3 linked regions of the Arabidopsis thaliana genome follow. The protein of the gene in region 1 interacts with the protein of each later gene in a pairwise test. Each region holds a gene or a part of one and is shown on either strand. Other genes may lie near its edges.

Region 1 (6,727 bases):
AGGTGCTACACATGAACAAGACAGGTTTCTTAAGTATCTTGAGAGGATTGTTGTCATATAACAAGTAGATGAAATTCAGGGCTGGCAAGAAAAGAATGCCATTAATGGGTATGCCATTTCCAGTGTTCCAAACAAACTACTAACTTACCCACACGGTTCTGCAGAATTGCCACAACACCTGTGCGCATATAGTCTGCCCAATTGTTGTCGGGCATGGAACGAAGAGGTTCATGAAGAAGTTCCTAAGCATAACGAACTTCTATGAGAGACATATAAAAAGATAAGCACACAAAACAAAGATGTAGAGCTTCTACAATGGAAACATAACATGCATATTAAATAACATCAAGACGATGAAGGCAACTGTATTTCTCCAAGTAAAGGAAAATAAAACTTTAATTTTTCCAATTTCAATGGACAGAAATTTTGAAAATTTAGCTGCATTAAATCTACATAAATCATGCTAGTAACTATAGATACTTTTCCGGAGGAAGTTAAGAAGTGAAAACTCACAGAATACTCTGACGAGAAGACTGCAGACAGTAAATGGAGTGCTTCAAACTTCAGGGCATTATGCAACACCGCAAACTGCCGTGCAACAGCAGCAATCTGAATAAAAGTTAACATTATGTTTGGAGTCCAACTTCAGCATTGCAGCTTTAGTAAGTATTGCGAAAAGAAAACAAAAAGTAACCAAGTAAGTAGACTCACCACCAAAGACAGTTCTAAGAAGCGTTCAATAGTCATGCTCCCACAATCAAGCTTACTAACCAATAACTGCAGAATCTTTATAGCAACCTCCATGGCATGTGAACCTGAATAACATGTCTCACATTAGCTCCCAGTGAAAAACTATTATCAAATCCATCTACCTCAACATGGCACGTTTTCTTTGACACCAAATATAATCAATCCGAAATAGCATTCAATGGAATCTAATGTGCATCATATACACAACAAAAGAATGTAAACCCAATGAAAGAGTATGTATTACCATCAGGTAACTCAGACATCTGGGGAGCTATCACTCTCAAGCCTCCAGAGTTAATCAAAGTCATGAGACCAGCTTCACAAGCCGTGGACACCAAATACAGAAGCTCATAGCAATCTTCGAGCATGTTTGTAGTTATTCTGAAATTCCAAAAGCCAATTTCCTAACTTTAGGCAATCACAATATGCAAAAAGTTGAAGACACAGAAGCAAAGCTTGATTAAAAAAAAAACTTCATGGAAAGTCGCAAATGCAAGAATCAGGTGATCTAACATACCCTTTGGACATTACTTCGAGAATAAGGGGAATTCTGGAGACCATCTCTTCTGAAGAAGCTATCTCCGGAACACGGCAGAATGCAGCAAGAACAGTGATAGATATCTGCAGATACACATCACGATTATCAACCCCATCGCCACTGCCACTACCTGCAAAACAAAAAATCGAAACCAGTCAGAGCAACAAACTTTAGTATCTCAACTAAAAAATTCACACTTTGTAGAAACCCCAAAATTGATATTAGTATTTACTGAGACAAAGATCAATAATTCGGGGTTTTGATTACCAGTACGGAAAAGACGGTCGAGAAAGTGAGTACCAACGGCTTCGTAGACCTTGTTGAGAGAAACGATGTCATCGTTCTTACAGAATTTGGTGACGAGAAGTAGACCGGCGAGCCTCTGCTCGTCTCTCTCCCCTTTCAATAGCTTAAGGCAATCGTCAAGCGACGGAGATCGTTCCTCCTGTGGTGCTGCTGCCATAATCACCCAACTCAAAGAGTAACAAAAGTAGACCAAGTCGAGAGAAAGGTAAGCAAAAAAAACTAAAACAAAAGCCGTTCGTTGGAGAAGCTGAAGGAAGAAGAAACAAGTCATTAAGTCGGCATTCAGATTTTGGGCCAAATACCAATGGGCTTTGTTAATAATACAAGTGAAATCATTTAAAATTATCGATATATTAAAAATTGAACCATATAAAAACCGAGCCGAACGTAACCATGCATCAACCGGTGAGAGAAATCAGACGAACACAACAACATCGTAATACTACATTTCAAGCTAGTTTAATTATGATAAATATTGCTTGATACATTCATTACAAACGAACATATTGACACTTTACAAGAAAAAACCCACACTTGCTTAAGCGTTCGTTACAAGACGCAAACCAACGAAACAGATCACTTCCAAAAACTACTAAGTCGTTACAAACAACAATTTGGACTCCAGAATCCGGTTTCATAGGCTAACCGGTATCCACTATACAAATAACACACTCTGTACGAGCATAGAACCGGATTCGTTTCTTTCATATACGGTTCCCAAGAATTCACATGGCAAAGAACCATCCTCTAGTTAGCCGCTATGTCACCTACGACTTCCCGGTCCTGAGTTTGGTTACAAAAGAAGATCTTGACCGGGTTGGTTTAATGAAATTGCGCAATTTGAAAAAGAGAACGGATCTTGTTTTACCGTTTACGTTTGTTCTTGGTGAGAGTAGATGACGTGGAAGAGTTGCTGTTCCAGTTTCTTTTCCTCTGGTTGATGAACCAATTGTTGATCTGTTTCAACTGCAAACCGGTTTCTTGAACCAGTTTTGCCTTATCTTCCTCCTGCAATTCCAAAACCAAATCACGAATTAAAACCTTGCTTTTGACAATGTGGTAACAAAACTTCTCGGCCAAGGTGTTTACAGTTGGGTATGGCCATTTCGAGTGAGTTCGCCACCATTCTTTGAGTACAGAAGTCGTATCTCCTGGCAACTTTCCCGCCCTTCTCTTCCTCATTATCTCTTCTCTTATGTCCACAATCTTCTCTTTGAAACCCTACAGGGGAAAAAAGAAACCGAGCAACATGATTTAACAATGTGTTTTGTATAGTTTGATGTACCATTGCAGCTTGATCAAGCAATTACCTGTTTAAGCTCATGCTTCAGTTCTTTCTTCACACGTTCCATCAAAGATCTCTCTCTCTCGGTTGGAACAAGAGGACCAAACCCCATCAAGCAATCTGAACCGTCCAAACTTCCATCAAACATGTTCACCTCGCTCTCTACTTGATTATCATCTTCATCATCCGACATTGTCTTACCATTACTTTCACTTGGAGAAACTCCTACAAACCAGAACAAAGAAAAACCGATAAAACCAAGACACACATAAAGCAAGAAGACAATAACAAAAAAAAAAAATGATTTGGGACGTTACCAGTTAGGGATTGCAGTGATTGTTCAATCTCCCAACAAGCCGTAATGGCTTCCATTGCATGGACACAAACGTGGTGTTGGAGTTGTTCTTTAAATGAACATAACAAGACAACATAATGTGACTGCATCAACATAATAATCAAAGGTAAGATTCCAATCCATAAGACATACAAACAGAACGTTACAAAAAATAGATTATGCTTTCTTTCTCTTGGACATGCAAAGTCCTTTTCAGCAAGAATCAGACAAACTATTAGTCATCAAAGAAGAAGCTTTATGCAACAAATATAACTTATTTGAGTCAGACAAAGTTCATAATTCGAATTACAAGCTAACCAAAAAAGTAGAAGCAAAGATCATATCGATTGCAAGACTCGAGAAGCGGGAACAATGAGCCACACAAAAATGTGAATTTGCTATACTCAGATAATCAAAGAGAAATAAATGGCTGAATCGTTCACAGTTCAAAACATTAAAATTTTGCAAAATTAGAAAGTGAAACTTACCATGAAATGATCAAGTTCCTTGTTGTCAACAACCACACCAAGAGTGGAGTATTTCGCGGCGACGGTATGCAACTGACTGAGCTGAGCATCGATCCTCGGAATCTGGTCAACGGGAGTCGCAACCCTAAGGCAAGCCACGTGAGCCGCAAGAAGCTGCTCGTACATCGGATGTCTTAAAATCGCCGCCTTATAGCTAGCACTCCGCCAATCTTCACCTCCTACAACGCCGAGTATCGTTTCACCATCGGCGTTGACTCCGTCGATAACTTCAGAACGTACTTCTCCAGTATTTTGCATCTCCGAATGAAAGGAGAGCCAGCGTGGGTTTGTATCAGCAACGGAATTGTCTCCGTTGCGGTGCGGAGGAGCGAGATCGGAATCCGCAGTGGTAAGGGTGGTAGGGAGGTTGAGGAAACTGGCGGTGACAAGCGAAGGTGTTTCAGAGAAGTGACGCTGCGGCGGAGGTTGCTGTGATTGATCGGTGAAGTGTCGGAGAGGAAGGTCTTCTTGTGGAGGAAGGAGGTGGGAGCTGTTAAACGACATTGTTTTCCTGCGTTTTTGGGATCGGAGAAGAGAAGACTGTTTTCTCTTTCCCCTAGTTATTTATCTCTCTGAAGACCAATATTTTTTAATTAATCTTGAATTTTATATTTATATATATTTTTTTTTTTTTTGGACTCTACTTCAATCTCTTTGTTTTAATGTCAACATAAAGCCTGTAACCAAAATGAAGCATAAAATAACTCAACCTACAAGAGCCTGTAATTCTGTAATTCACAAGTTTTGTGAGCAATGATTTGCTTACAAAACTTCTGTTCTAGAGTGTAATTTTCTTCTTTAGGTCTTTATTCTCCAAATTATGATAAGTATATTTACCATTAAACTCATTGTAGATATTTTTAAAACCCAGATATTTTTTTCTTTTTTACATGAAGGAATGTCATTTTTTTTTAATCTCTATACACAAAAGACTTGGGATCCATGAAAAAGAAAATAAGCTCATAAACAAGTTGGCAATTTTTTCTCAAATTTATTGGGCATTTAAAAACGAATCTTTTTCCATGAACACGCCGACAACCCACCAATAGCATTACACCTCCCAAGTTTATATTATAAAAATTCAAATTAAATAGTAGAAAAATGAATGTCCAAAGAGATTGATAGATCTTCTTGTCTTGGATTAGTTGAGCGGAAACTAGGGTTTTAATATAATAATGTATGGAGAATAGTGAAGAAGAAAATGTTTGGAACATAAAAAGTCTATTAGTTGTCCTACTTTTTCCTCTTTACAATTTCCAACAAAAGCTTTTAAATCGGTACAAAGAGAAAGAAAGAAAAAAAAAAGTAGTTAATTTTGCATTAAAAATTGATAACACCATCTATTTAAAACAAATTTTTTCTTCTAACACATCAAATTAAAGAAAACAGAGAGGGAGGGAGGGAGGGAGTAAAAAGTAAAAACCTAATTTTCACCCTCTTCCTAAGAAAAAATCAAGAAGTAATTGAGCATTTTACCCCAAAAAAAGAAGGAAACGGAAAACCAGAATGTGACGGGAGAGTTTCATTACACCACTTATTACATTCACTTTTCTTAGTTGACATCTCTAGCTCCCTTCTTCCCTTCACTATAATTCGATCGCAAATCTTCATATAGGCCAGTTTTTAGCTAGTTCCGTACAATATCTCTTCCTCGGATGGCGCCATGTTGAGATCAGGGAGGACGAAGAAACTCCCCTGATTTTGCGAGTCACTGGTTTTGCAAGATTTTGATCCCTGTAGCCGCTCGAGTTGTGATTTACGAATCAAATCAACAGGTTTCTTGTTTGTGACACGGCCTGAGTTTAAGTCAAGCTGAAACAAGAAAACACAAGAGTCGATGAGACCAGCAAATAGAGAGAAGGGATCTGGAATATCTGATTACTGTAAAGATGGTTAGGGAGAATCTAAATGTTACCTTAATCCTCTTCAGCTTTTGGTTCCTAAGGTTTTGTTCATCGAATGTTGCTCGGAGACTTGCAATCTCCTGTGGAAAAATATTGGGTTTTTTTAAGAATACAATGAAAACCATGATAATAAAACAGAGAATAGCAACGAAAATCTACCTTTTCAAGGTCAAGTCTCTCCTTCAACTTCAAGTTCTCTTCATTTTTAAGCTCAAAAGATGACTGCCAAATATTAAAAGAATAAAAAACCATCAGCTCAATAAAATTTGAATTTTGGAGTGTGTACTTGAAATTCAAAAAGGAGACTTTATATTTACCTTCCTCTTCTTCAATCTCTTGGAGAAACAACTGGTGATTTCGTTTGTGGGAAAAACCTGCAAAACAAAAACGCATTTGATTAGTCAACTATTAAATGGCTGAAGATAACGACAACTGTTTTACTTTTATAATCAATACCCAAGATCTTATTTTAACATACCGGTAAAAAGTTTCTTTTCCCACAACAGAAATTTCAAACAAGTAAGAAAAATATATCGAAGAAACCAAATAGAGCATAAAATTAAAAAATCTCAAATATATAATTGGGAAAGAATTTTTATAGTGAGGATTTGATGCCACATCATGATTATTCCGTGTCATGGGCATTGTCATCTATCGTCATCACTCTTTTAAAGATCACGTGATACCAATCTCTCCGACAAGATCATTTTACTCGTTTCAACTTTCAACCCACAAAACGCTACCGTCTCGAGCATCAAAACGTTCAATAAAACGCGGACGCGTTTGACCAACTAGCTGTTAAGCTGTACTACCCCCAAAATCTAAAAGGAGCTTTAATTATTCCTCAAGACAAAATTAAAGTTGACCGATTTCTAAAAATCCACATCTAACCGGCCACGCAAGATCCGGTTCAATGCGTACCGAGAAAAACAGGTCTCTTATTAAGCTTTGTTACAGAAGATTAGTAGAGTTTTCTAATTACAAAAAATGAGCAGAAAACAAGGAAATTAAGCTTAAAGTGGCTTTGACTTTTTGGAGATTAGATGAATTTAACCTAGAAGCAGGATGGCTCCGGCCGACGGT
Region 2 (8,335 bases), on another chromosome or scaffold:
CCGTTCGGAAAAATTAATTTGGGCTATCGGTATTCGGTTCGGGTCAGTTCGGTTATCAGAGTCCGATCGGGTTAACCTAAACCGAGTATTAGAAGCCCTATATAAGGTTAATGTTTCACCAACCCTATTTTCTCTACTTCTCTCCGCCTCTCTCGCATCTCCAAATCGAAATCGCTCTCTGCCTCTCTTCGTCTCCGTCTCCGTCTCCGTCTCCATCTCTGTCTCCGGTGAGTATTCATAAATCTGATCTCAGACAACATTAGATTTCGATTGTAAGTTCTTTAGGTCTGTAGATTTTGAGTAATGGGTTTGACAACATTAGATTTATATTGCCCACTCTCACTTGTTTGTGTTGATTACTGTAATGTTGAATTTGGGTTTCATCTACTAACTAAGATGAAATCAATTTGAGAAGACTAGTGGATAATAGTGAACACGTTTACATGACTTTTGACTTGATAGTTTGCTATTCTTGTTGTATCTGTGTGAATTGTTATAGGTTGCTTGATTTTGATGTTCATGTGTCAAAATTGATAATGTAGCTTTTGTATCTGATTAATTAAGATTCTAATGCAGTTGAGTTTTTGGTCTTAATATTAGGCATTGTATATTATACCAACGTGTGAAGAGGTTCTGTTGTTTTCTGAATTTCTCTTATTTTGTGTTTCATTCAGCAAAAGTGTGTCGTGAGTTGATATTCTTTTAGGCTGAATATAAATGTATGTATAAAATTTGGCTTATATTGTTTGATAAGAACACTAGACCTCTTTCAAGTTGAGCGTTATGTTGATGTATATTACTTGACTCATTTTCAATTCTCTTGACAATATTTGACATTGCATTTACATGTGGTTCCTGTGTTTGTTTAGTGTTCAACCTGAATGTTGAAGTTTAAGACATAAATCATCTATACTTGGTTGTTTCTTGATTTTGAATCCTTAATAAGACATGGAATTTCTCCTCTCATCAGGTAAGTCACTGAAAGATGGGGCGTGTTAGAACCAAGACGGTGAAGAAATCTTCACGTCAAGTCATTGAGAAGTACTACTCTCGCATGACTCTTGACTTTCACACTAACAAGAAGATCCTTGAAGAGGTTGCCATCATCCCATCAAAGAGACTCCGCAACAAGATTGCTGGATTCTCCACCCACTTGATGAAACGTATCCAGAAGGGACCAGTCCGTGGAATCTCACTCAAGCTTCAAGAAGAAGAGCGTGAACGCCGTATGGACTTTGTTCCCGATGAGTCTGCTATCAAGACTGATGAGATCAAGGTCGACAAAGAGACTCTTGAGATGCTTGCTTCTCTAGGAATGTCTGACACATCCGGCATCTCTGCAGTCGAGCCACAACAAGCTATGGCACCAATCGCTGCTTTCGGCGGCAGGGCACCCAGAAGATACTAAGATGGCCTCAGCTAATCATCAGCTACGATTGGCTCTCTTTTTTCTCAGTTAGGGACAAGAAAGACTTGTGTGGTTGTTTATTGTTTCTTCTGATTATGTCTTAAACTCAATGTGAGACTCTTTCGTATTAATGGTTTTTAAGTTATGTGGAACCAAAATTGGAGTTCAAACATTTGATAGTACCAATACTTTTTGCTTATCAGATCCGAGTTGATTCATGGGAGAGTTGTTGTATCAGCGAAGATTGTGGAGTTTTATGAAGGACTGTTAGTGAAACATTCCACAGGTCGAAACCATTTTAAAACTTTGAACAAGGTAGAGTTGTTCCACAATGAAAATGTGTATATTGCCTGCTGCTTCTATTAACTCTTTAGGTCTAGAGGAAGATATTTTTGTGTTCAGTCTTTGGATTTGGTTAATATCATGAAGATGTTCTTTTGGTTACAAGGTCTTCATGAACTAAAACAACACAACTACCATACTTAAGTAAGCCAAATCCAACATTCTTAACATGAGCCTAATACTAAACTATTTAATCCTCTTTTAACACTTACAAATACTTAATGAAGTAGTCTAGTACCAAAGATTCTGTATAATCTAGTATTCCACGGGTCAGCTTTGTTAGTATAGTAGGAGAGGATGCAGCACTCGATCCATGGTGGATTTCTTGGAGCCACAAAGTTCGAGCTTTCCCGTATACCGAGCAACCAATTCCGCTTCTTCCTCAGCGTCTCTGTGTCCTGAAACCCTAAACCCCAAAAGTACTCCTGCCAATAAAATCTAGATTAGGCTATCAGAGACGATCTTTGTTGACAGTTTAGATGCAAATAGACCAAATGGTGTATTTACTGCGTCTTTATTGCATAAGAAAGCCTCTAAAGTCGCTGTTGAATCCTCCAGTGTCAACAAAACTTGGTGGTGACGGCGATTCTCATCTGAACAGAAATCCTCTACTTGCCAAGGATATGCAGCTACAACCCGAACAATACATCTGTACTTGCATGTAACCTGTAATAACAACGTAGGCGATCACATAAAAGTATTCTTAATCTTTTCAGGGAATACAGCAAATAGATTCATGAATGGTACCTTGGGGAATGTTATGATGTCCATCAGTGTAACAAATGGGGCACAATTGTCATCTGTCTCTGCAAGACACCAAGAATGTTAAGGAAGTCTGTCTAAAGATTGACACAGAGAAAAACATTCGTTGAGATTAGATCCTGCTCATTAAGTAAAAGAGAAGTATTGCAACCTGTTAATCCAGGAGGTGACGGAAAACACCAGAATGAAATGTGTCCCAACTTTGATGATAGTCTCTTATCATATATCCTAGTTTTTGGCACATTAGATTATAAAACAAAATGGTAAGAGATTCTCATGGTATGCAAAAAGGTCGGAAGTAGTTACTGAAAGAAATATCAAGAAGTACAAACCTCATGATCTTTTCAACTAAACGATCATCTTGAGCGAGATGATGAACCTTTGTAGAGCTGGTAACTTTGATTACCCAAGATCCTCTATCAACTTCACAGAGTAAATGGTAAAGTTTCACCCAATCACCAGGTTTAACCCGATAAAATAGATGACTGCTTAGATGAACTCTCAAGATCGTTCCAACGGTTGGAAAGCTGAGCAGTACATCTCTTGACAGTAAAGTATGAACAGAGAGACTGCTAAATGCCTTGTCTTCTTCACTTCTCCTGTCGATAGCCAAACATTGTACACCAAATAGAAGAAGAGTAAGCGTAGGATATGGAAAGCGTAGAGTCAAGCCTAAATGAATGACTCAAAACAGATAATGTGAGGATTTAAAACTTTTTTCCTTCGCAGTTAATACTCACTTAGCCAGAATAGATGCTGGGGGTGCATCAGTCCCGTCCCAAACAAAAACAGCGCTAGTATCTTCATCGGCATGGAGAATCTCCATCACAAGAAACAGCAGGAAACAAGGTAGGATCAGTCAACAAAACATAAAAGGAGCCAAAAAAAGATTTGAAGTAACAATGAAGTGGTATAGAGGAATGAAGAGTTAAAAAGCTTTCTCACAGTTAATAGAGAGTATAGAGCATATTACCCTGCACACCAAATCAAAGCGTTTTCCTATCTTGATCTCTCTCAAGAAGGAAAAAACTTCGGAGCAAGGTTTTGTTCTGTAAGATATACTCTGCATAGCTAAGTACCAAAACAGTAAATGAAAGCTTATGAGAATCGTTCCAAGCTATCCAAAGCCATTATACTATATGCATAGTTGAAAGCAAAAGAAGCTCACAGTGTTACCTTTAATAACTTGGCTACAACCCGCAAAAACTTTGCGTAAATCATCCATGGCACTCTTGTATAATGCTTCTTCTTCATGAAAATTGGTACTACATTGGTAACAAACAAAATCCACACCTTCGAACAAGGCAAAGGAAGAAACCCATCTACTACAAGCAGCATTTACTCTTTCTCCACTATCAAAAGTTTGCATCTACACAATAAAAATCCAAACTTTATAACCTCCTGCACAAAACACAGAAGGAAAATGAAGAGGTCTTTGTACCTTAATGCGAGTAAACAGAATCATGTCGTCGTGGTTCTTGATTTGAGGAAGTTGTTCAAGAGTCTTACTAAATACATTAACAGTAAGTCCAGGACTTGGATACGTATCATCAATTATCCGTAGCGTACAAATCCAATCTAAGAAAAAAATCCAACTTTCAGATTTTGTTGGGTCAAATGTTAGGGCTTTCACAAAACAAACCAACTAAGATTCAGATTCAAGCAAAATTCTATGTATTTAACTCAAATTTTGGTTTTTTTTGGATAAGTACCATTGTTGCGACATTGTTTTGGTTCTCTTTGTTCAAGGACGATACCAATGAGACTGACTTGTTGGTTGATGAGTTTAATGGCGTCTTTGATTTTGATGAGCTTGGGACTCTCTCTCTTCTTCGCCATCTCCCGCTTTGCTACAACGTTTTTAAGTATTATCCTGACGTCACAAAATTAGAGAGTGGTAATATGTGGAATGAGTATCAACAGAACACTAAGCACCAACCTGCAGCCCATAGCCAATAAGTGGAGTGAGTATACATTGGAGGCAATAAGTGGAATGAGTATACATTGGAGCCAATAAGTGGAATGAGTATACATTGGAGGCAATAGAATAGCCATCAACGGAATGACAATGCAAGGATATCAAAAGAACACTAAGCACTAACCTGCAGCCCACTGGAAGTATTCAATGCAGAATCAGACTGAAGGCAAAAAAACTTTATCTTTCTCTCACTTGAATCATCCCCTGGATATAGCAAATTTCATCACAATGGTGAGAAGTAACCAAAGCTAACAAATGTTCCAGAATATGATCCTTCCCTTACATCAACCATCTCTCACAAGAAAATTCTTCAATCCACAATTTTTACTACTTTTATCTACCAAATCCTCAAATCCATTACAATGAACATAATCCCATGAATACAAATGATATATTTTGTTGTGATTAGATTTTAAAGGAATAAACTAACCTCAAGGTCGTATCTGTGCACATTGTTTCCGGCGACGACGATTGCCACCGGAATGAGACCTTATCAATGATCAATTCCGTTAGGTATCGAAATTAGAACCCCTTCATCAACGAACAACACTAGATCTCTCCAGTGAAACGGCCGACGCTTCTCGATCCTCTAACGACGCTCTCAATTCCACATTCTTCTCGCCGTTCTCCGTGAAGTTGCTTCTGTGAAGATTCACTAAAGTCCCAATCAATGTAATCGGAGAAATCTCCGACCAAATCGCTATCGCCAAAGAGACTGTTTTTTTTTTCTTGTTTCTTTTTTTTGCCAAAAAGTTATGTTATATATATCAACCCAGTGCATCATCCAATAATGGTGAACCTTGGAGAGGCCAGTACAAACAGGATACAGAGATAGAATTTTTACATATCAAAGACGTCTAAGTAAAGATAACAACATTTACGTTACAGTTAAGGTACAATATTGAACTACCACGAGCATCTCCAAGAGATACTCTATCCCTCAAATATAAAGTTTTAGGTTCTCTAAAAGATAATCCAATATAATTTAGAGCATATCCAAAAGATATTTTATATATAGAGTATGTAAACTTCAAATATAAAGTATGAGTAGTTTCTTCTCCAAGAGTATACTTTAAATATGAAGTTTCTAAAATATGTGTTTTGCATTATAGTCTTTATATTGTTCATAATTATTTTAAAACTATATAACTTTAATAATAACACTAAAACATACATTAAAATATTACACATAATCTTAATTAACAAAACAATACATTTATAAATAAAATACATATAAATAAAAATTAAAAATACATAAATTAACTTATAAATTACAAATTACTCAATAAAATTATTTTCGTAATGCTCTCATATGTGATCAATCAATGCATTACGAAGAGATAGATAAGTCTCTTTATTTTTAATCTGTAGATTACGAGTCAAAGTGTTGAAATATTTTGAATATATAAAAATTAAAGGACTAAAATGATAAGGGAATGTGACACGTTTAGACACTTTTAAAGAATTTTATTCCTTTTGAGGCACTTTTCAGGGATTAGGCACTTTGCCATCTTTTTGAGGAGAAATTGGACTAATTTACCCCTGAAGTAATGATGACACAATAATTATTAAACTTATTTTTGATGAGATCGTGTGGGTAAGAAACTATCCCCCTTTTATCATCTCTCTCTTCCATATTCTTTTGTTTTTCATCATTTTCAATCTCTCTTTCAAAATCATTGTCGTTCTCTATAATTTTTACAAAATCATGAAAATTATGAGGTTATCCTAAATTCACAATCAAAATCTATGTTTACCCTAATTTTTTTTTTTTTTTTTTACTTTTGTATATTTTTCTCCATTCGCTGGAAAACTTATGGCCACCACCATCGTTTCTTATCGAAGGATTATTAACATTAGAAATCCAATTCGCCGAAGATTAAGACAGAAAATATTGGTCTCAACTCAGATCACTAAGGATGTTTGAATTGGGGAAGAAGAAAAACTGAATCATTGTTTGGGAGAGGTAAGAGCATCTTTAACCAAATTTTATCCTCTCTCGTATTGGATTTTTACTTGGCTTTATCTGTTTCTTAAGATTGAATGTTAAATTGATAAATAGTAAGATAGGATTCAATCCCAAGTTAGGATCGATTTGACAAATTACTTGAAGAATTTTAAATTAAGTAGTTGACTCAATCCCAAGTTAGGATCCAGTGATATGAATGTTGTGAATTGACATTGAAATTTGATTTGTTAAAATGCATCTAGTTTTCCAGTTAAAATTCTAATACCCTTCTCTGGGAACACCTTGAATTCCTTGTTTAATTTTTGCTCTATTTCCAGCCTATAGATACGTAGTTGGTCTTCAAAAACTTTGGCTAACAATAACTTTGTGTTAATCTCTTTCTATCTCAAAAATGCTAGGGAAGATGTGATATTTGGTTTTATTGGAGCTATCGTTTCCCAACAGATACATCTTCCGGATCTAGAAATGATGTGTTTAGATCACACACCTATCCACACCTCTATATCCATATGACTTTTTACATTAGCTGCAATCACCAATTTGTTTTGACAATTTGTTCACATGTATATGGATACTCTTATCATTGCATAGCACTTGGCCACTCTCTTGAATTTGATGACGTTAAACTGATCATATGATTGTTGGCTTTTTAGATTTTAGATTTTGCTTGTTTATGGAATGTTTGTATCTTAGTTCTAACAATGTGGATGACGATAATGGAATGTTTATATGGATGGCACATTATGGATGACGCATCGTGGATTGTGCAGATTGTTATGATGAGAGTTGTGAATCTTTTGGTCTTACATGTTAAGAATTGGAAAAGCTATATGTGGTGCTTTTGGTACGATTGTTGTCCACAAAGTTTCATCCATCTGATTCTTAAAGAACATTTAGTCATTCTAAATCATTTAGATATTCTTTTTAAAGATATAATTGTTCACTGACGAGTGTCCAAACAATCAAGTCCAAATGGTCACCTAGTAACTCACAGTTTGTTTTATATCAATGCACAAATTTATACATGAACAATAATCGTTGATAAAAAATTTGTTGAACTTTTGGGTTCTTCCTCTATTTAACTTTTAGAGGTTCACTTCTCTTACATCTCTTAGTTCTCTTTAATGCTTTGTTTCACTCACTCATTTTAACTCAAGCACAAAAAGAACCTTCACTCTCATTCTCTCAGTCTTTGGTTAGTTTCTTGTTTTGACACGAAGACATAAAACGATTAGTAAGAGAGAGAAAAGTGAAAACATTAGTTGTCAACATTTTTGTATTGGATTCAAAGATAGATTCTTATTATAAGACATACACACACATATTCATACTAGTTTACTTCTACTAAGTACACACTTGCATTATGCTTCTACTTAGACCTAGACCTTACTTTAAGACATCATTACTCTAGTCTCTAAGGTATACCCAAGCTTACAAGCAAGGTTTACCAACAACTCCTACACAACAACAACTCTAACAACTCTTCACTAAGCTAAACTTTAACTAACATAACACACTTACTCATTTAGGCCTAACAAAACAATTAGCCCAATCACTTATTATTTCATCTTCTCCCATGCATATTCTTCTTTTGCTTGAGCTTCTTCTTCTTATTCATGTTCTCATTGAAGCATTTTATCTTACATATTTAATCAAGAACTCAATCTCAACAGAAATACACCGTCCATTTTTCTTTGACCAATATTCACTTGTGTATAGAGTATGGACATTATCATAATTATATAATGGATCCATATCCAGCGATGACACATTAATGGTAAACAAATGCAACATTGTCCATTGATGTGTGTCCAAGATGTGCAATCCATATGGTTGTTTATACCAACACATAAGTTATACATATATAGAACAAGAT
Region 3 (8,297 bases), on another chromosome or scaffold:
GTTGACTAATTTGTTTGATTTCTTCCTCTAAAATAGTTTTCTTCATTATTTTTGAACAAAAAATAACACAAGTTGATGGCGAATATTACAAATTCGTATGACATAAAGAAAGAAAAAACAGTACTTAGTCAAAGGCATATAACATGCCAAACCCGATCGCAATGAGAAGACAATCCAGATTAATTTATATTGGAGTAAAACTAATTATGCGTAAATGGGCTTATTTTAGGAGTATTTAATACACACCCGACGAATAGTAATGACCACTATAACACCGTGAATATTGGCTTATTGATGATAAAATTTAAACCAAGCCACATTACGTATGTTATGTAACAACTGCACGCTCAAAATCTAGCTAGTTTGGTGTCTAACCTGGGAAAGTGGGTCAAAACACTCGTACGCATAACCAAAGTAACGGTCTCTACAAACTGCATTCGTTTAACCAAGACTAGAAGCTCGACAACTGAAATCCATCAAAGATTTCACTCCAATGAGAAAAACATAAGAAACAAGTTTTTTATATAAAAGCATTATTTTGCACATTATGTTTGGGATTTTTTAATTCCATTTTTAGGATATAGTATTTATAATGACTAAAAATGACAAATGACAAATATTTGAAACAAACTACAAAGAAATTAACGTTTTCCTACGTCCAAAATCGTAGGAAACATGGTTTTTCTCTCATTTTTCTACGAAAATAATTTATAGGAAATTTTCCATAAAAAATCAATACTGATAGGAATTTGGTAATCACCACATGTATATTTACTCACGCAACAAATAAAATTATAATAAATACTATTTACATCTTATTAGAATTTAAAAAAACACGCATCAATAAATGTATTACAATTTTTTCTGAGTGTTGTTGTTTGAAATTTAGTGAGACTATTAAACATGAGGCCAACCCTACAATTGTTTTGATCAACAATAAGATATGTATAAATATGAACATACTAGTTTCAAAAATGCTTTTGAAAAATAACAAGATACCAGTTTTTATGCGCTATGGATGATTTATTTTACATAACTGGTAGTTTGTTTATGTGGACGGTAAACGATTCAAAAAGATAAGCAAATTTGTCCACATATGTTTTTGTTGTTCTACATACAAATTATAATTATCTATATCGTATAAATAAAATAAATACAAGTTACTAAAAAAGACTTTCTCATGAACTTAAACACTCTTTGCAATTAATCAACTAAAATTATCTACTATATTTCTAATTATATTTTAAATAAAATACTTTTAGTCAAATACCCTTTAAAAATAGACATACGTGGTAAACTAAAAGAATATATGAAATAAAGAAATAAAAGTAAATATACATTTAACGGGACCCACTCTTTCCCCATCATGCTTCATTATCATTATCGTTATCATCTTCTTTCTTCCTCTCTCCTCTCTTTCTCAATAATTTAGATTTTTGTGTGATTAAATATTTTAGGTTTCTGCAGAAGGAGACGTTTCCTCGTTTTTGTGCTGTTTGGATCTTCTGACACAATTCACTTTTCCGTATAAGTTTTCAATTTCTCTAATCCCATTATGTATATTTAAAATATTATACTCTTAACCTATTTGAGTGTTTGGAAGAAAAATATAAACTAACGGTAGGACTTTCAAAAATGAAATCTATTCATTTTCTAGAATAAAGTGTTGATGCGTTTTAAGTTTTTATGTGTATGTGGTAATATAAAACTTTGTAAATAAAGTATCTTAGTTAATCTGCTGAGGAAAATAATGAAATGAAATTAAAGAAAAAAACAGTTGAAAAAAGAAAAAATGAAAAGAACTTGGTAACGTAAACATTACTAATTTTATTACTTATAAATCATAATCAGTTCAAAGTTCGTTGCCATCCTCAGTGTACACTCTGAACTTGCTAGATGATAAAAGTCTGCAAGAATAGTAATCCGAAGAATACTTTATGTTCAGGATTGTAGTTATATCAATAAAGAAAGATTTGGATTGAGATGCGTGTGGGATTTCTTTTTATTAAATAAATACAAATATAATGTTTTAAAAGAAAATGATATGATTCTAAATTGGACACGACATACATATCACTATGTCTTGATGTGATAACATTTACTTCATCTATGAAATTATATCGTCTATAAATAACTAAATAAAGGGTGTTTGGTTGTTATGATATGTGGGTTCATTACCTGGTCAATACATGAAAAGGCCAAAGTCATATCATACAAGTTCCTCTGTTTTTCAAGTATACCAATTCTAAATTTATAATAAGATACGTATCACATATATATTACCAAATAATGTATACATATGTCTATGAAGTTGAAATATTTCGAATTTAATATTATCTCTTGTACTGGATGTCAAACTAGAATTTCAACAACAAACAATTATATGCACATTTTCTCACTTAGTTTTATGAATTTTAGCTCCCTATGATATATATGTACTTTGTAACTTATTTATCACCATGCTATATAGTGATAATAACATGAAGTAAAGGTTTTTTGAACATGCAGTATGAAAGAATGCTATGTCTTTTTCTTAATTTATTCATTAATCTTTTTCTATTTAAAAAAACTGTTGAACCAATTGCTCTAGAGTACACTAATTTAAATGATTACATAAAGCTATATCTAAGTGTAGAGTTTAATATCAATTTTGAAAACAAATTCCAACATGGTTGGAATGTCTATTTAGCATATTAAATTAAAAAGATAAGTAATATTAGCTGGTGGTGAACGTAAACACACACACACACACAAATTGTTTTGCGGATACAAGTATATATCAATATATGAATGTAAAATTAAGTTACATTAGTGAATATTTCATGTCCTAAACATTGGTTATTGTCCCATTTAACAAAAAATCCACTTTGGTTATAAGATATACCGACCACAACACTAAAATAAAATAAAATAGAAAGAAAGTGATGAAAAATGGTGGCGTACTAAGGACTGTGGGAAGATTAATGAGTGAAGGAAAAGATGGGTATCTTTTATCTCTCCTTTCTTTATCCTCTCTCTCTTTCAATATATATTAGTCATTTTTATTTTGTTATATATTATTTCTCAGCTTTTTAAATGTATTTTATATTTCCCCTTTGAGCAAGAAAAGAGTTGCAGAGATCTTTGAGTCTGACACAGAGACCAAACTCACATAGCAATCACACACATCTCCACAAACACAGGTATGCATATAAATATATATATATAAGTGTATATTCGTGTGTATGTGTGTGTGTCTGTCTCTCTCTCTTTCTCTTTGATAGAAATTCTCTAATGTAACTTTCCTTTTGCAGCTTGAGATGATCATGAAACACGTGCATCCTCAGATCTCTATCAATCCAGGTTCTTCATCTTTTATAATATTCATTTTTTCTTTCAATTTCTAACTCTATTATTTTATTATTTTATTTTCAATCATGATTATGTCTTAATTTCCATATCCTTCAATCTCTCTTTCTCATAATCCATAATTCATCCCTTCTTCTTCGTCTTCTTGATGTGATCACGATTCTTTTTTTCTTCGCTTCAACTGTATATATATACAGATCTATATTAAACTTATAGTGGTTTTGTTTTTGCTCCTTTTTCATACTTTTGTTTGTTTTTCTATGATATCAATCAGCTTGGTGAAAGAAGGTCAAGAATTGAAAGAGAATCAAAGAAAACGACGTCGTTTCATTCGTGTGTAACAACTACTAATTATACATAGATGGCTGCTTACTTTCACGGAAACCCACCGGAGATCTCTGCCGGATCCGACGGTGGTCTTCAAACGTTGATCCTCATGAATCCAACTACTTACGTTCAGTACACCCAACAAGACAACGACTCGAACAACAACAACAACAGCAACAATAGCAACAACAACAACACAAACACAAACACAAACAACAACAACAGTAGTTTCGTTTTCCTCGATTCCCACGCGCCGCAGCCAAACGCGAGCCAGCAGTTCGTCGGAATACCACTCTCAGGTCACGAAGCTGCTTCCATTACAGCCGCCGACAACATCTCCGTACTTCACGGTTATCCTCCGCGCGTGCAGTACAGTCTCTACGGTAGCCACCAAGTGGATCCCACTCACCAGCAAGCCGCGTGTGAGACGCCACGCGCGCAGCAAGGCCTCTCTTTAACCCTCTCGTCTCAACAGCAGCAGCAACAGCAACATCATCAACAACACCAGCCTATTCACGTCGGATTCGGGTCCGGACATGGAGAAGATATCCGGGTCGGGTCTGGCTCTACAGGATCGGGGGTAACAAACGGTATAGCTAATCTTGTTAGCTCCAAGTACTTGAAGGCAGCACAAGAGCTTCTTGACGAAGTAGTCAACGCTGATTCCGATGACATGAACGCTAAATCCCAACTATTCTCATCGAAAAAGGGTAGTTGCGGAAATGATAAACCTGTCGGAGAATCATCGGCCGGCGCTGGAGGAGAAGGTTCCGGTGGCGGAGCAGAAGCAGCCGGGAAACGTCCGGTGGAGCTAGGCACGGCAGAGAGACAAGAAATACAGATGAAGAAAGCAAAACTTAGTAACATGCTTCATGAGGTAACAACAATACGTATTATATACAATAAGCCTACATATACTGAGTGCTCTCTTATATCACACATGAAGTGGACTTAAAAGTTCTGTCCCTAAGATTTTCAGTCATTTTCACAATTCATTTTATATGTATATTAAGCTATCCTTTTTTTTTTTTGCTCTTCCGATTTCTCAAATTGACAACTTACAAGATTGATGAAATCTTTTTTTTTTTGTCCCTCTCTTAGTAAAGACTAACAACTTTTATAGATTATATTTATGTAGACCGTACACTTATGTTCATAAGACTCACGTTACTTTGTTGGTTGAAAAATGAAAAGGTGGAGCAGAGATATAGACAGTACCACCAGCAGATGCAGATGGTGATCTCTTCGTTCGAGCAAGCGGCAGGGATAGGATCAGCGAAGTCATACACGTCGCTAGCATTGAAAACCATATCAAGACAGTTCCGTTGCTTGAAAGAGGCGATCGCTGGTCAGATAAAAGCGGCCAACAAGAGTCTTGGGGAGGAAGATTCAGTGTCTGGTGTTGGGAGGTTTGAGGGGTCGAGGCTCAAGTTCGTGGACCACCACTTGAGACAGCAAAGAGCTCTTCAACAACTGGGAATGATTCAACATCCTTCCAATAATGCTTGGAGACCTCAACGTGGTCTCCCAGAACGAGCCGTCTCAGTTCTCCGTGCTTGGCTCTTCGAACACTTTCTTCATCCGTAAGTAACCCACTATACACACATGCACTACTTTTCATCACTGGAACACAAACTCAGTCTCTAAGTTGTCTTTCTTTTAATTAGATACCCTAAGGATTCGGACAAGCACATGCTAGCTAAGCAAACAGGACTCACTCGTAGCCAGGTACGTTTCAAAATGATTCTTTCTTGTGTTATTAGGTTACTTAAGAAAGCGTTTTTAAGTAAATTTATTTTCTTTAATTATTTAGGTGTCGAACTGGTTTATAAACGCGAGAGTTCGGTTATGGAAACCAATGGTGGAGGAGATGTACATGGAGGAAATGAAGGAGCAGGCAAAGAACATGGGATCCATGGAAAAGACTCCTTTGGATCAAAGCAACGAAGATTCTGCTTCAAAGTCAACAAGTAACCAAGAAAAGAGCCCAATGGCGGACACTAATTACCATATGAATCCCAATCACAACGGTGACCTAGAAGGCGTCACTGGAATGCAAGGAAGCCCCAAGAGACTAAGAACCAGCGACGAGACAATGATGCAGCCAATAAATGCGGATTTCAGCTCCAACGAGAAGCTCACGATGAAGATTCTAGAAGAACGGCAAGGGATAAGATCAGATGGTGGCTACCCTTTCATGGGTAATTTCGGGCAATACCAAATGGATGAGATGTCAAGATTTGATGTAGTCTCAGACCAGGAGCTCATGGCGCAAAGGTACTCAGGAAACAACAATGGCGTGTCCCTCACGTTAGGTTTACCTCATTGTGATAGCTTGTCGTCCACGCACCATCAGGGTTTCATGCAGACCCACCATGGGATTCCTATAGGGAGAAGAGTGAAAATAGGAGAAACAGAGGAATATGGACCCGCCACCATCAATGGTGGTAGCTCGACCACAACCGCACATTCATCAGCGGCAGCTGCCGCGGCTTACAATGGGATGAACATACAGAACCAGAAGAGATATGTGGCTCAGTTATTGCCCGACTTCGTTGCATAAACCCATCTCTCTAGAAGGAGAAACCGAAACAGGTTATTATATACGTTTCTAGTTTTTAATTAGTATATAGTTTCTCATACCATTGAACCAAAACAAAGAACAAAATTTAATTTTAGTCTTTGGTTATATATGGCCGACGGTTGTATATCGATTTTGTAATTTTTTTTTTTCGTTTCTATTGGGGGATGGATAGGGTTATATATGTATATGGATTAGTTACGTGTAATAGCTTGCATTGGGTGTATACCAAAATATATTTTTACTTTTATTACAATGTAATAATTAATAAGATAGTGAACTGATCTATCAAATATGGAATGATGATTACAGATTAGATCTAAGCTGTATAGATTCCGAATATGACATGTATGCTTAAGCGGCTGGAAACTTATAATATTTTTTGAGGAGTGTTTATGTGTTAAAAGCATATTAAATAAAATTCTACACATTCACAATACAAATATAAAAAAAAACAAAGAAAGCAATCTCTGAAATAAGATCTTACGAACTGTTGAATTGAATTCAGATTTCAAACTTTGTGTATAGTTTTTTTTTTTAAATCAATTAAGATTAACGTTTATAAAACTTGTTATAAATTTTCTTTTCAAGATATATAAAAATGAAAATGTTCAAATCATTTTGTAGAATAGCGTCACCTGCTGAGAGATAAACTTACAATAACAGTAACAATTTTTTTTTTCTGTTATTAAAGACATTGACAGAATATTTATATGAAGACTGCGTGAGAGTGTGAGACTAATTTCGGAGAGGTTTGTAAGAAAAAAGTTTACAAAAACATATGCGAATATTTAATATATATTTTACTCATTTTCGGCCCATAACTTTTTTTGGGCCCAAATACCTTTCTATAGATATTAATAAATAATGAAATTTAGTGAAACACATGAAATATGTTGCGACTATCGGAGCCAAATTCATGAGTCAAAAGTTGAAAAACACAACAAATTTGAATTCATTATTTAAAACTGAGGCCCAGAATCTAATAAAATTTCCGATTTTGTTACCCAAATTACTCATTTTAAGCTTCCCTTCAACATCACTTTGTTTAGGCCCAACGCAACAACCCTTTTTTAAATTATAAAAAATAAAATTCTATTGTCCAAAAAGAAAAACAATAATAAGAAAAAAGTTCTTTACAGAGAGGTTTTTTCATGGGTAAACTATTGATTGAATGTTAAGGTCATGTAAAAACAAAAAGGTTTGGTAGGAATATAATCAACTATTAAGTCCTCGAAATATATGTTCAGAAGTTGTCCACTTCAACAACTTCCACACTGTATTTAACGACTACCTTATTTGAATGTGTAACGTTTAAGCCCTTCTTCTTACTTACAGCAACAGTCTGTACAAGAACAAACCAGCTCTAACCGGACTGGTTTGCTTTTTCATACCTGAACCAGATTAGTTATGGTGCTTATCAGATAGATAAACGGAATACTAGTTAGTATACATCATGTTGCATTCTACAATCATTTTAATTGACTATATTATCGATATGCAGAAACGGCATGAAATGCTTTAATTTGTGACATTTCCTTGAAATATTGAAACACTTATGTAATGAAAATAAAAAGGAAGTTCTTAAACTATTTTAAAATTGCTAGAAGAGCTTTAGATGCATTGTACCTAGCAATTACAATTGTTAGTCGTAAAGTAAGATCACATTGTTTAATATATCTAAAAAGAGTGTGGTCAAATGAATTAGTGAATTACTTTGTATGAGTATAGAATAATATATTAGTTTCATACACGCATGCTCCATTCATGCATATATGGTGGTAATATCTTTTAAACCGTGTTATATTTTGCGTCGGTGGCATTAGTTGTTGAAGCTCCACACTGCTGATCACTTGCAGTTTTGCACCCATGCATATCCCTGATGTGATACGTTTTGCCATTGATCGATCTCTACTAAACTAATTCCTTTATCAAAATTTCATCCCAATGTATGTAACATCATCATACCTCATTAAGTACCTCCTAAGGAAATGACTGCTCCTAAGAGAAATCCGTTTCTTGTCGATTTTTTCATAAGTTT

The links. Proteins that work in one complex are often made in the same cells at the same time.
Region 2: the proteins of KNAT5 (region 1) and AtPOT1a interact in a two-hybrid assay, tested with the Arabidopsis thaliana proteins (one study listed by BioGRID).
Region 3: the proteins of KNAT5 (region 1) and BLH1 interact in a two-hybrid assay, tested with the Arabidopsis thaliana proteins (2 studies listed by BioGRID).

What each region holds. Positions count from the first base shown.
Region 1 is NC_003075.7:15,491,644-15,498,370, reverse strand, and holds KNAT5 (homeobox protein knotted-1-like 5), read right to left. Parts: upstream 4,383-6,727; 5' UTR 4,245-4,382; coding exon 3,702-4,244; intron 3,318-3,701; coding exon 3,197-3,317; intron 3,105-3,196; coding exon 2,905-3,104; intron 2,816-2,904; coding exon 2,684-2,815; intron 2,603-2,683; coding exon 2,463-2,602; coding exon of another isoform or gene 2,459-2,462; exon of another isoform or gene 2,378-2,458; coding exon 2,362-2,377; 3' UTR 1,990-2,361; downstream 1-1,989. Other genes in the region: AT4G32050 (neurochondrin family protein), read right to left, coding at 1-5, 149-242, 514-609, 712-815, 995-1,131, 1,268-1,418, 1,556-1,751; AT4G32030 (uncharacterized protein), read right to left, coding at 5,364-5,552, 5,656-5,724, 5,804-5,866, 5,962-6,018.
Region 2 is NC_003071.7:1,887,830-1,896,164, reverse strand, and holds AtPOT1a (Nucleic acid-binding, OB-fold-like protein), read right to left. Parts: upstream 5,482-8,335; 5' UTR 4,921-5,481; intron 4,695-4,920; 5' UTR 4,615-4,694; intron 4,452-4,614; 5' UTR 4,352-4,451; coding exon 4,225-4,351; intron 4,091-4,224; coding exon 3,954-4,090; intron 3,882-3,953; coding exon 3,689-3,881; intron 3,584-3,688; coding exon 3,486-3,583; intron 3,333-3,485; coding exon 3,253-3,332; intron 3,112-3,252; coding exon 2,845-3,111; intron 2,741-2,844; coding exon 2,664-2,740; intron 2,557-2,663; coding exon 2,498-2,556; intron 2,417-2,497; coding exon 2,258-2,416; intron 2,176-2,257; coding exon 1,969-2,175; 3' UTR 1,651-1,968; downstream 1-1,650. Other genes in the region: AT2G05220 (Ribosomal S17 family protein), read left to right, coding at 986-1,408. UniProt on the Arabidopsis thaliana protein: Component of the telomerase ribonucleoprotein (RNP) complex that is essential for the positive regulation of telomere length. Binds RNA non-specifically. Binds specifically single-stranded telomeric DNA.
Region 3 is NC_003071.7:15,087,112-15,095,408, reverse strand, and holds BLH1 (BEL1-like homeodomain 1), read left to right. Parts: upstream 1-2,993; 5' UTR 2,994-3,182; intron 3,183-3,230; exon of another isoform or gene 3,231-3,293; 5' UTR 3,294-3,342; exon of another isoform or gene 3,343-3,622; 5' UTR 3,623-3,709; coding exon 3,710-4,552; exon of another isoform or gene 4,553-4,869; coding exon 4,870-5,258; intron 5,259-5,342; coding exon 5,343-5,403; intron 5,404-5,488; coding exon 5,489-6,238; 3' UTR 6,239-6,647; downstream 6,648-8,297.